Daphnia pulex: one gene and its partner. Each later gene encodes a partner of the first gene's protein in a complex. Links are inferred from orthologs where the notes say so. Each region holds a gene or a part of one and is shown on either strand. Other genes may lie near its edges.

Region 1 (4,483 bases):
TTCTTTAAGTAAAATGTCTCATAAGAACGAAGTTCTTGTGGTTCTTGTATCATAAGAACTTCGTTGCATTGAAAAATTGTCTCACTAGTATTTCTGTTCACAAGTAACATCAGGTTAGGTTAGGTTAGGTTAGGTTAGGTTAGGTTAGGTTAGGTTAGGTTAGGTTAGGTTAGGTTTGGTTAGGTTAGGTTAGGTTATAAAATTGGTAATTCCCTAATCACAATCACGGCGAAGCCGTGAACATCATATTATTATCATCCACGGCGAAGCCGTGAACGTCAAGTTATTATCAATCACGGCGAAGCCGTGAACATAATTTTATTATTATCCACGGCGAAGCCGTGAAATTAAATTCGGTATCATCCACGGCGAAGCCGTGAAATTTACATTCGGGATCATCACGGCGAAGCCGTGAATATCATACTGGATCATAGGGGGTGTTACTGTTGATGCCTGTTACTAACGAGACGTTGTCGTTATACTACAAAATACTACTGTATCACTTTCCCTTTTCACACGAAATTTTGAAAAAGAATTATGAAACAATTTACTATTGACCATTTGTTGGTATGAAATAAATAAATTATTTAGAAAATTTTGATTTTCTTCCGAACGGTATTATTTGAGATACGTTTTACTAGTGATACACTGTAGCCATTTTCAATTTTACTTGTGATACAAATTACTATAGTACGATACTTAAGCGCCTTTTTACTACTGCGATTCCGTCATAGTGCTACGCACCGAATATTTTCCCCCGCGAAAAAGTGTTTCCGTATTTAACACAGCCGCTTATGGGAAAATGGTTTTTTTTTAAAACAGTATTTACATGACATCTTAGCACATAGAAATCCTTCCTTGGGTTCATTTTATAGCTAAAGAGTCATTCTATCTTATTCATTTATATTTATTCAAAAGGGGACATTCGTTTAGAAGTTATAACCGATATTCTAGGCCCTAATTTTGCATATTTTCCAAGTGTTTTGCATTAGTGAGTAACACACCCGCTTGGTGGTGATTAGCACAGCCGCTATCCGCTAGAAGGGGCTGCACTCCAAGCGGGTGTGTTACTCACTAATGCAAAACACTTGGAAAATATGCAAAATTAGGGCCTAGAATATCGGTTATAACTTCTAAACGAATGTCCCCTTTTGAATAAATATAAATGAATAAGATAGAATGACTCTTTAGCTATAAAATGAACCCAAGGGGGGATTTCTATGTGCTAATATGTCATGTAAATACTGTTTTTTAAAAAAACCCATTTTCCCATAAGCGGCTGTGTTAAATACGGAAACACTTTTTCGCGGGGGAAAAAAATTGGGTTTTACGTTTAATTTTTTTTTAAATACTAAATCTCGTTATAACTGCACAAAAAGTTGGGTACTTATAGAATGAAAGATTTTCTAAAATTTAATATTTTTTTAAATGGTTTATTTCAACAAGAAAGAATATTTACACGGGAAATAAAATTTCAAATCACGATTTATACATGTTCTACACGATAGTTTTAACTAGTATTTTAAAAATAACTACATTTTTATAGTACACACAGTGCTCACGAACAAAAATTCAGGTAATAATTTGTTTGGGGTCAAATCGCCAATTTGACTATACTATATAGCCAATCGGGAACCGGCCCGGGCGCCCGCCCATCATTTTTTAAAACTGCGCTTTTTTACCACTGTTTATCTCTCACCTGAAGAAACCCTTGTTGTTTTCTGCTTGAAATTTTTAACAACATAAACTTTTGTGCGGAATTTCTCAAATTGAATTTAGCGGCGTGATTTCTAACAATCTGCTCAGTTCTCAATGGGCATATCTCATCAGAAAAATTAGTAATTGTAAATGTGGTTTGTAAAGGCTTAACAAGCAATTCATTTTAACTGGTTCAGTCAGAAAGCAATTGAAATTCACTAATGTCGACATGATAAATTGTGGAGTCATAATGAATTCTTTTTGTAAGCAAAGAAGGAATCTTCCCTTTTGGATGCCTATTACTGGAATTCGAGCAATTTTTACTAAAAGCTTGGATTTGGCATGTGCTCAGGAAAAACGGTAAAACACATTTCAGTTACACACTAATTTTTGCTGTTCAACACAAAAGTTTATCAGCAATATATAACTGTGTGCTATATTTTATAGGAAAAACTGGGAAAGTGTTGTTGGTTTAGAAGTTCATGCACAAATCAAGACCAGTTCCAAGCTGTTTTCTGGTTCAGCTAATAAATTTGCATCACCTGCAAATTCTCTTGTGTCATTATTTGACTGTGCAATTCCAGGAACCCTCCCAGTTCTTAACAAAAAGGCTGTTGAAGCAGCTCTACTTACTGCATTAGCCCTTAACTGCAATGTTAATTTGGTTTCAGAATTTGACAGAAAACATTATTTTTATGCAGATATGCCAGTATACATTTTAATAATAATGTAATCATGATGATTTCTACAAAGCACATCAATTCAAACATTTTTCAGGCTGGGTATCAGATTACACAGCAAAGATTACCACTGGCCAGTGATGGATACTTGGATTTTGCTGTGTTTAGTTCAGCAGTGCACAAAGCAGCTTATAAGAAACAATCAAAAATTAAACAACTGCAATTAGAACAAGACAGTGGCAAAAGTTTGCACGAAGAATCTTGCTCCGGGTAAATATTTCTATAGTATTTAATACGGATTTATAATGCAGATTATTTACATCAGTAGTGTAAACTTAACCTAACACATTTATTGTTTAATGTTAATGTAAAATGAATTAGTTCAGGGTACAATAAAATACTAGTGAACTTAAGTGTGAAATTTCAAGCAAAAGTCAGAAATAACAAAAATCACACACTTTGTAATGTTGCAATTGCGCTACTTTTTCTTTACTAGATTAAACAGTAAAGAACCTTACTAGGCAACAATACTTAACAATTTAACTTTTTACAGGAGCCTTATAGATTTAAACCGAGCAGGTGTTGGTTTAATGGAACTTGTTTTTGAACCTGATCTCAAGGATGGTGAAGAAGCAGTTGCTTGCGTTTCTGAACTTATCAGGATATTAGAAGCCCTTGAGACATGCGACTGCAAGATGGAAGGTACACTTGTGATTTTATCTACTTCTTTTAATAGCAGTTTTAGAGTAACTTCATTTTTAGAGGGTTCTTTACGGGTCGATGCAAATATTTCGGTCAATAAGCCAGGAGAAACCTTCGGAACACGGACAGAAGTAAAAAATCTTAATAGTTTACGAGCATTAGCTCGATCGATTGACTACGAAATCGTGCGACAAATCGAAGTTTTAGAAAAAGGAGGCAAAATTACAAATGAGACTCGTGGATATGACCCCCAACAGAAAATAACCTTATCTATGAGGTTTGTCTTTTAATTTCTAAGTATGCCAAACTAAACAAAAATACTGACCTTTTTTTTCATATTATATTTTGTATTAATGCATAAACATATCTCCCCATCCATATTTAGAGATAAAGAAGAAAAACAGGATTACCGATACATGCCTGAACCAAATTTGCTACCATTAAGTCTTTTACAATTGAAATTAGACCCATCTGACTTTCGAGTACGCATCCCAGTTTTGCCTGAGCAAGAACGTACAATGCTTATGGAGAAATACCAATTAAGCTTGGAAACAGCTATACAATTAGTGGTAATTTATTTAGCAGTTATCATTTTGCTATGATTTTCTATTTAATGTAAAAAGTTAAATCTAGAATGGGAGGAACATTGACTATTTCCTAAACGTAATGGATGCATTGCCAAATCTTCCGGTAAAAAAAGTGTGTAGCTTGCTTCTAACGGATTTGCTTGGTCTTCTACATAAAGATGAAAAGACAATTCAAGAATGGTAATGAACAACAAAATTAAATGGTAAAGATTTTCATATTTTTCCTATTTTCTTTTAGCCAGATAAATCCTCGGCAATTTGCGAAAATAGTTGAACTTGTGAAAAACAAAAAGATCTCCCATTCAGCTAGCCAAAATTTGCTATTACTTCTCTACCGTGGTGATTTACGTCACCCTGAACAGGTTTGTTTCCATTTTTCATTGTACTGAAACAAGGGTGTAATTATTCTCGTTGTTTTGTTTGTTTTTTTCAGGTGGTTGAAGAAGAAGGGTGGACTATGATTAATGATCCTAAACAACTTGAAGTCATTTGCAAACAAATAATATCCGAAAATCCTAAATCCGTATAGCTTCTTCATTTTCAAATGATTGACCTCAGCCTTTAATTAGAATTTTGTACATATTTCTATAGGTCGCCGCTTTTCGAGCTGGTAAAGCAAAAATATTCAAAAGCTTGGCAGCCCAGCTTAAAAAGGAGTGTAATGACAAATATGATATGGGAGACGCAACGCAAACTTTAAAAAGACTATTGGAAGAAAAGAATTTGTAAATCAATTTTTAAAAAGTAAAAATTATTTCCGTGTACTTGGTTGGCGTTCAAAGTTTACACCCTTGCAGTGCTGAAAAGTAAATGAGA
Region 2 (4,381 bases), on another chromosome or scaffold:
AGATGATCTAAATTATTAATACCTTCTTCTGTCGGGCTAAATCAACTAGTTGCGTGAGTGCAGCTGAGCTTGGGATAAAATAAGCCCATCGCAATGTTTTACCCTCTATTATGGCTGTAGAGTTTGCAGCCAGTAAATCCAAACCATTCTTCATCAATCCTCCAATCATTCCGTGTTCGTCAAAATTTCGCAATGTAGGCGGAGATAAAGTTACGTACTTAGCGTTTGCCCAGGGTTTCAACAGACTGTACGAGAACTTCTCAGTTCGACCAGAACAATCCAATATCACATCAAACCTAAGCAAACAAAATTGAAGGAATTGTCAAGAGCAAATAAACCTATAAATGTGGTACTAACCCCCCAAACTGTTGTAACTCAGAATCTGCTTCAGGAGAAGTGTAGTCAACTGCAAAATCAGATCCTAATTGCAAAAGAAAGGGAATTGCTTCTGAGGACCCTGTTGAAACAACCTATGCCAGAGACCAAATGAGAGGGATAATAGAGCATGAATTATATTTCAATAAATAATATATATCTTATACCAATGTGCCCCAATTTTTCAAAAGCTGTATAGCTATTGTGCCAACTCCTCCAGCTGCTCCAAGCACAAGCACCCTTTTACCTTTAGAGCCAATACATAGCTCAGCAGTGATACTTAATGCTGACCAAGCAGTGAGGCCAGCATAAGGAATAGAAGCTGCTTCTTCCATGGTCAAGTTTTCTGGTTTGTGTTTCATGTTGCATGCTGAAGCTACAAGATATTCAGCATGGGATCCTGGTAAGGGAGGTTGAATAACCCCCATGACTTCATCACCAGGTTTAATTCCTGTGACACTTCCACCCACAGCTTGAACAACACCTGCAAAGTCTCTTCCAGGGTACGTTAATGAAAGATCCTGATTATTTGCCATTTGTCTGAATACACTTGATTTCAGTTTATTAAATTTTTCAAAAACCTGGTGGCCGTAACCCTCTGTAAAAAAAGAAGATAACTGGACATAAGTTTGAATACAATGATAAAAAGTGATTTACCTGTCATCATTACATCAAGTGCATTTACTGATGCTGCATTCACTTTAACTAAGACATCATTTGGGCGTGAAAGAGGAGGTACTTCCACAGTATTGATCAACTTTAAAGATTCCAATCCACTGTACCCACAAATTTGCCAAGCTGACATGGTATTTGGCAAATCTGTGAATTCATTTGGTTTCACAAATGAACTGAGTCTTCGAATAGATGATTTTAAGAACATTATGTCAAGTCCCAAATGGTACGAGTGAATCAACGTTTTGCTATCGCTTCATAACAAATACACGTGTGGAACATGGAACGTTACTGTCTTGTGTCTATTATTACATAACAAATGGCTTAGGTTCTCTTACCACACAGCGCTCCGAGTGGAAAGTTATTCAACTATATTTTTACAAATTTCATATAGTTGAATTCAATTTGATGAAAAAATTTGAAGAATTATGGCGTTATTTTGCGAGAAATTCTCGTTATTTTTGGTCTTTATCTGTGCTTACTGCTTAGAGCCTTGATTTTAGTATATTTGAATTCAAAGAAAGCAGCACTGGCAACCCGCAACCGGGGAAGAATTCAAAACAATTTTTGTTTTGAGACGTCTGCTGGTGTGCAAAACCAAAACCAGGCAACTTTTAACAATATTACACGGGAATCGGGGAATAAATCTAATAAATCCCATAAATGTTGCATCAGTTAAAAAATGGAAGCTGCACTGTGCAAGAACTTTATGCGCAATGTGCAAATCGTGTGCAAGTGATTAAGAGTTTAAACGCTTACATAAGAGTGACAGATGAAGTTAGTCAAGTACAGCTTCAGGAATCTACTACGAGATATTTGAAAGGTATTACAAAATTATGTTGATTTCTTTAGTCCCCAGCTAAAAAATAGTAATTGTAGGAACAACCAGACCGATGGAAGGAATTCCAATTGCTATAAAAGATAATTTTTGCACAAAGAACATTGCAACTACATGTGCTTCAAAAATGTTGGAAAACTTTGTTCCAACTTACAATGCAACTGTTGTTGAAAGATTACTTGATTCAGGAGCTATATTGATGGGGAAAACAAATTTGGATGAATTTGGAATGGGGTACATACATTTTCTACAGCATTTTTAATACAAGTTCTCACTGAATCTATATGATATGCTGTTACAGATCAGGAACAACTGAGAGCATATTTGGACCAACAAAAAATATTTGGGGGTCCAATTTAATTAGCAAGGCAAATGATATTGATAATAAGGTATCAGGATCTCAATCAGATGATTTTTGTATTGCTGGTGGTAGCTCAGGTGGTAGTGCTGTTGCTGTTGCTGCTGGATCATGTTCAGTGTAAGTATTCATTTTTTAAATGTATAATGATAAGATAGACTTTATTATACAAGTTTTAATGTAATTTTGTTGTCCCACATGACAGAGCTTTAGGGTCCGATACTGGCGGCTCAGTTCGTAACCCTGCTAGTTATTGCGGCGTCGTCGGATTTAAACCGAGTTATGGGTCCATTTCTAGATACGGTCTAATTCCCTTGGTTAACTCCATGGATGTTCCGGGGATTTTAGCACGCACCGTTGGCGATTGTCGGTCTGTTTTTGGTATGCTATTAGCTGTAAGTAATTATTTTGTGAATTCGTTTCACCGTTCTTTCATTGGTTGAACAGAAGTTATAAAAGGTTGTGATCCCAAAGACTCGACGACACTCCAACGGCCGTTAAATAAGAGTAAAACGAAAAGAAGCTCCAATAAGTTCGATAAATTATGTGTGGGGATTCCAAAAGAATTCTACTGCCCCGGATTATCATCTGAAGTTATTGACGGTAACTTTTTGTTTAGAAAATTACACGAGTTGTCACTAACTATTTAAAATTTCTTCTTTGCTGGGCGGTTGTTGCTTCGGAATTACCTTTAAATACTCAGCGTGGAAGGATGTAGCTGATCTGTTAGAAAACAGCGGATTTCGTGTAATTCAGGTAAATACAAGTGCTTATTTCTACTCTAACAGATTCTGATCCGACTTGTTCTAGGTGTCACTTCCTCACACTTCGTATTCTATTGCCTGCTATTCTGTACTCAATCCTTGTGAAGTAGCTTCGAATATGGCACGGTATGATGGACTACGATATGGCTATCGTGCAACTGGAAAGGACTTGAACAGCACTGAAAGTCTTTACGCGGCCAATCGATCACATGCCCTCAATCAAATTGTGCGCGGACGGATTTTGGCAGGAAACTACTTTCTTTTAAAAGAGTAAGTTCCCCGTCTTGTTTTTGTGAAGACCGCTATGCTATATTTACTGGTGAATTTTTCTAGGAATTACGATAAATATTTCGTGCAAGCTCTAAAGCTACGTAGATTGATTTATGACGATTACATTAAAATGTGGAGTACTGGTGTCGACATACTGTTGACGCCCGTCACCTTGTCCGATGCGCCATTGTTTTCAGAATTCACCGAAAAGGATTCTCGTGCTCAATCTGCAGATCAAGATTATTGTACGCAACCTGCAAACATGGCTGGAATACCAGCATTGAGCCTACCCGTCAGATTATCGAAGCGAAATTTACCTCTAAGTCTTCAACTAATGGCTCCTCATTTCGACGATGAAACGCTGCTAGACGTTGCTCATCTGCTCGAAAAAGAACTAAATTTTACCCATCCAACAGTTAAAGTAGCATAAGATCATGTTTCACTAGGTTAAATAAATTATCAATACAATTTATAAAGTCAGATTAGCGCCATAATGAAGTTTAGATTACATTTTCTTACCTGCTGCTAACCTATCCAGTACACAATTTTTTTAATTATACACAATAATAATCAAATCTAATTTCATTGATGAGTTGTAATGTTCAGCAAATTTGAGATATCACAACATCTTCAGTCAAAGTACTTATCCAATTTGAGTCGTGGAACTATGTTCATTGCCTGAAGCTCCTGAAATAAAAGTTTACAAGCATAGGGAATACGGATAGAAGAGACGGAGACGCTTGACTTGCAATAATGGCACCAACCAAAATAGCCCATCAGTCCGCACTGGTTGCAAACATCGACATCAAAGGCGTCACTAGATATCATTAATCGCTCCAAGATCAACATGCTAAAAACAAATTCAATACCAACTTTAAAAAATTCTCTTTGAAGAGCACGAAATATTTATCAAACCTGGATCCGTATGCGATAAGGCAATCTCGTTCCATCTCGCCAAGACGTAAACCACCTTCACGGGCCCGACCTTCTGTCGGCTGCCGTGTGAGTACAGCTCTTGGTCCACGGGATCGTGCGTGCATCTTATCCATCACCATGTGCTTCAATTTTTGATAGTATACCTAGAAAATTACAAGGAGGCACATA

Evidence for each region.
Region 2: glutamyl-tRNA(Gln) amidotransferase subunit B, mitochondrial-like (region 1) and glutamyl-tRNA(Gln) amidotransferase subunit A, mitochondrial-like share a complex: the UniProt entries of both Homo sapiens proteins name them as parts of the heterotrimeric GatCAB amidotransferase (AdT) complex. The link is inferred for Daphnia pulex from reciprocal best matches to the Homo sapiens genes GATB and QRSL1.

What each region holds. Positions count from the first base shown.
Region 1 is NC_060025.1:6,707,337-6,711,819, forward strand, and holds the start of glutamyl-tRNA(Gln) amidotransferase subunit B, mitochondrial-like, read left to right. Parts: upstream 1-1,682; 5' UTR 1,683-1,927; coding exon 1,928-2,058; intron 2,059-2,145; coding exon 2,146-2,407; intron 2,408-2,475; coding exon 2,476-2,648; intron 2,649-2,931; coding exon 2,932-3,080; intron 3,081-3,140; coding exon 3,141-3,357; intron 3,358-3,465; coding exon 3,466-3,649; intron 3,650-3,713; coding exon 3,714-3,847; intron 3,848-3,905; coding exon 3,906-4,029; intron 4,030-4,100; coding exon 4,101-4,190; intron 4,191-4,258; coding exon 4,259-4,396; 3' UTR 4,397-4,483. UniProt on the Homo sapiens protein: Allows the formation of correctly charged Gln-tRNA(Gln) through the transamidation of misacylated Glu-tRNA(Gln) in the mitochondria. The reaction takes place in the presence of glutamine and ATP through an activated gamma-phospho-Glu-tRNA(Gln).
Region 2 is NC_060022.1:5,563,408-5,567,788, forward strand, and holds glutamyl-tRNA(Gln) amidotransferase subunit A, mitochondrial-like, read left to right. Parts: upstream 1-1,607; 5' UTR 1,608-1,710; coding exon 1,711-1,870; intron 1,871-1,926; coding exon 1,927-2,119; intron 2,120-2,186; coding exon 2,187-2,363; intron 2,364-2,448; coding exon 2,449-2,624; intron 2,625-2,690; coding exon 2,691-2,846; intron 2,847-2,946; coding exon 2,947-2,999; intron 3,000-3,053; coding exon 3,054-3,277; intron 3,278-3,340; coding exon 3,341-3,707; 3' UTR 3,708-3,759; downstream 3,760-4,381. Other genes in the region: reticulon-4-interacting protein 1, mitochondrial-like, read right to left, coding at 23-296, 358-470, 543-973, 1,033-1,255; DNA-directed RNA polymerase III subunit RPC2-like, read right to left, coding at 3,908-4,127, 4,193-4,356. UniProt on the Homo sapiens protein: Allows the formation of correctly charged Gln-tRNA(Gln) through the transamidation of misacylated Glu-tRNA(Gln) in the mitochondria. The reaction takes place in the presence of glutamine and ATP through an activated gamma-phospho-Glu-tRNA(Gln).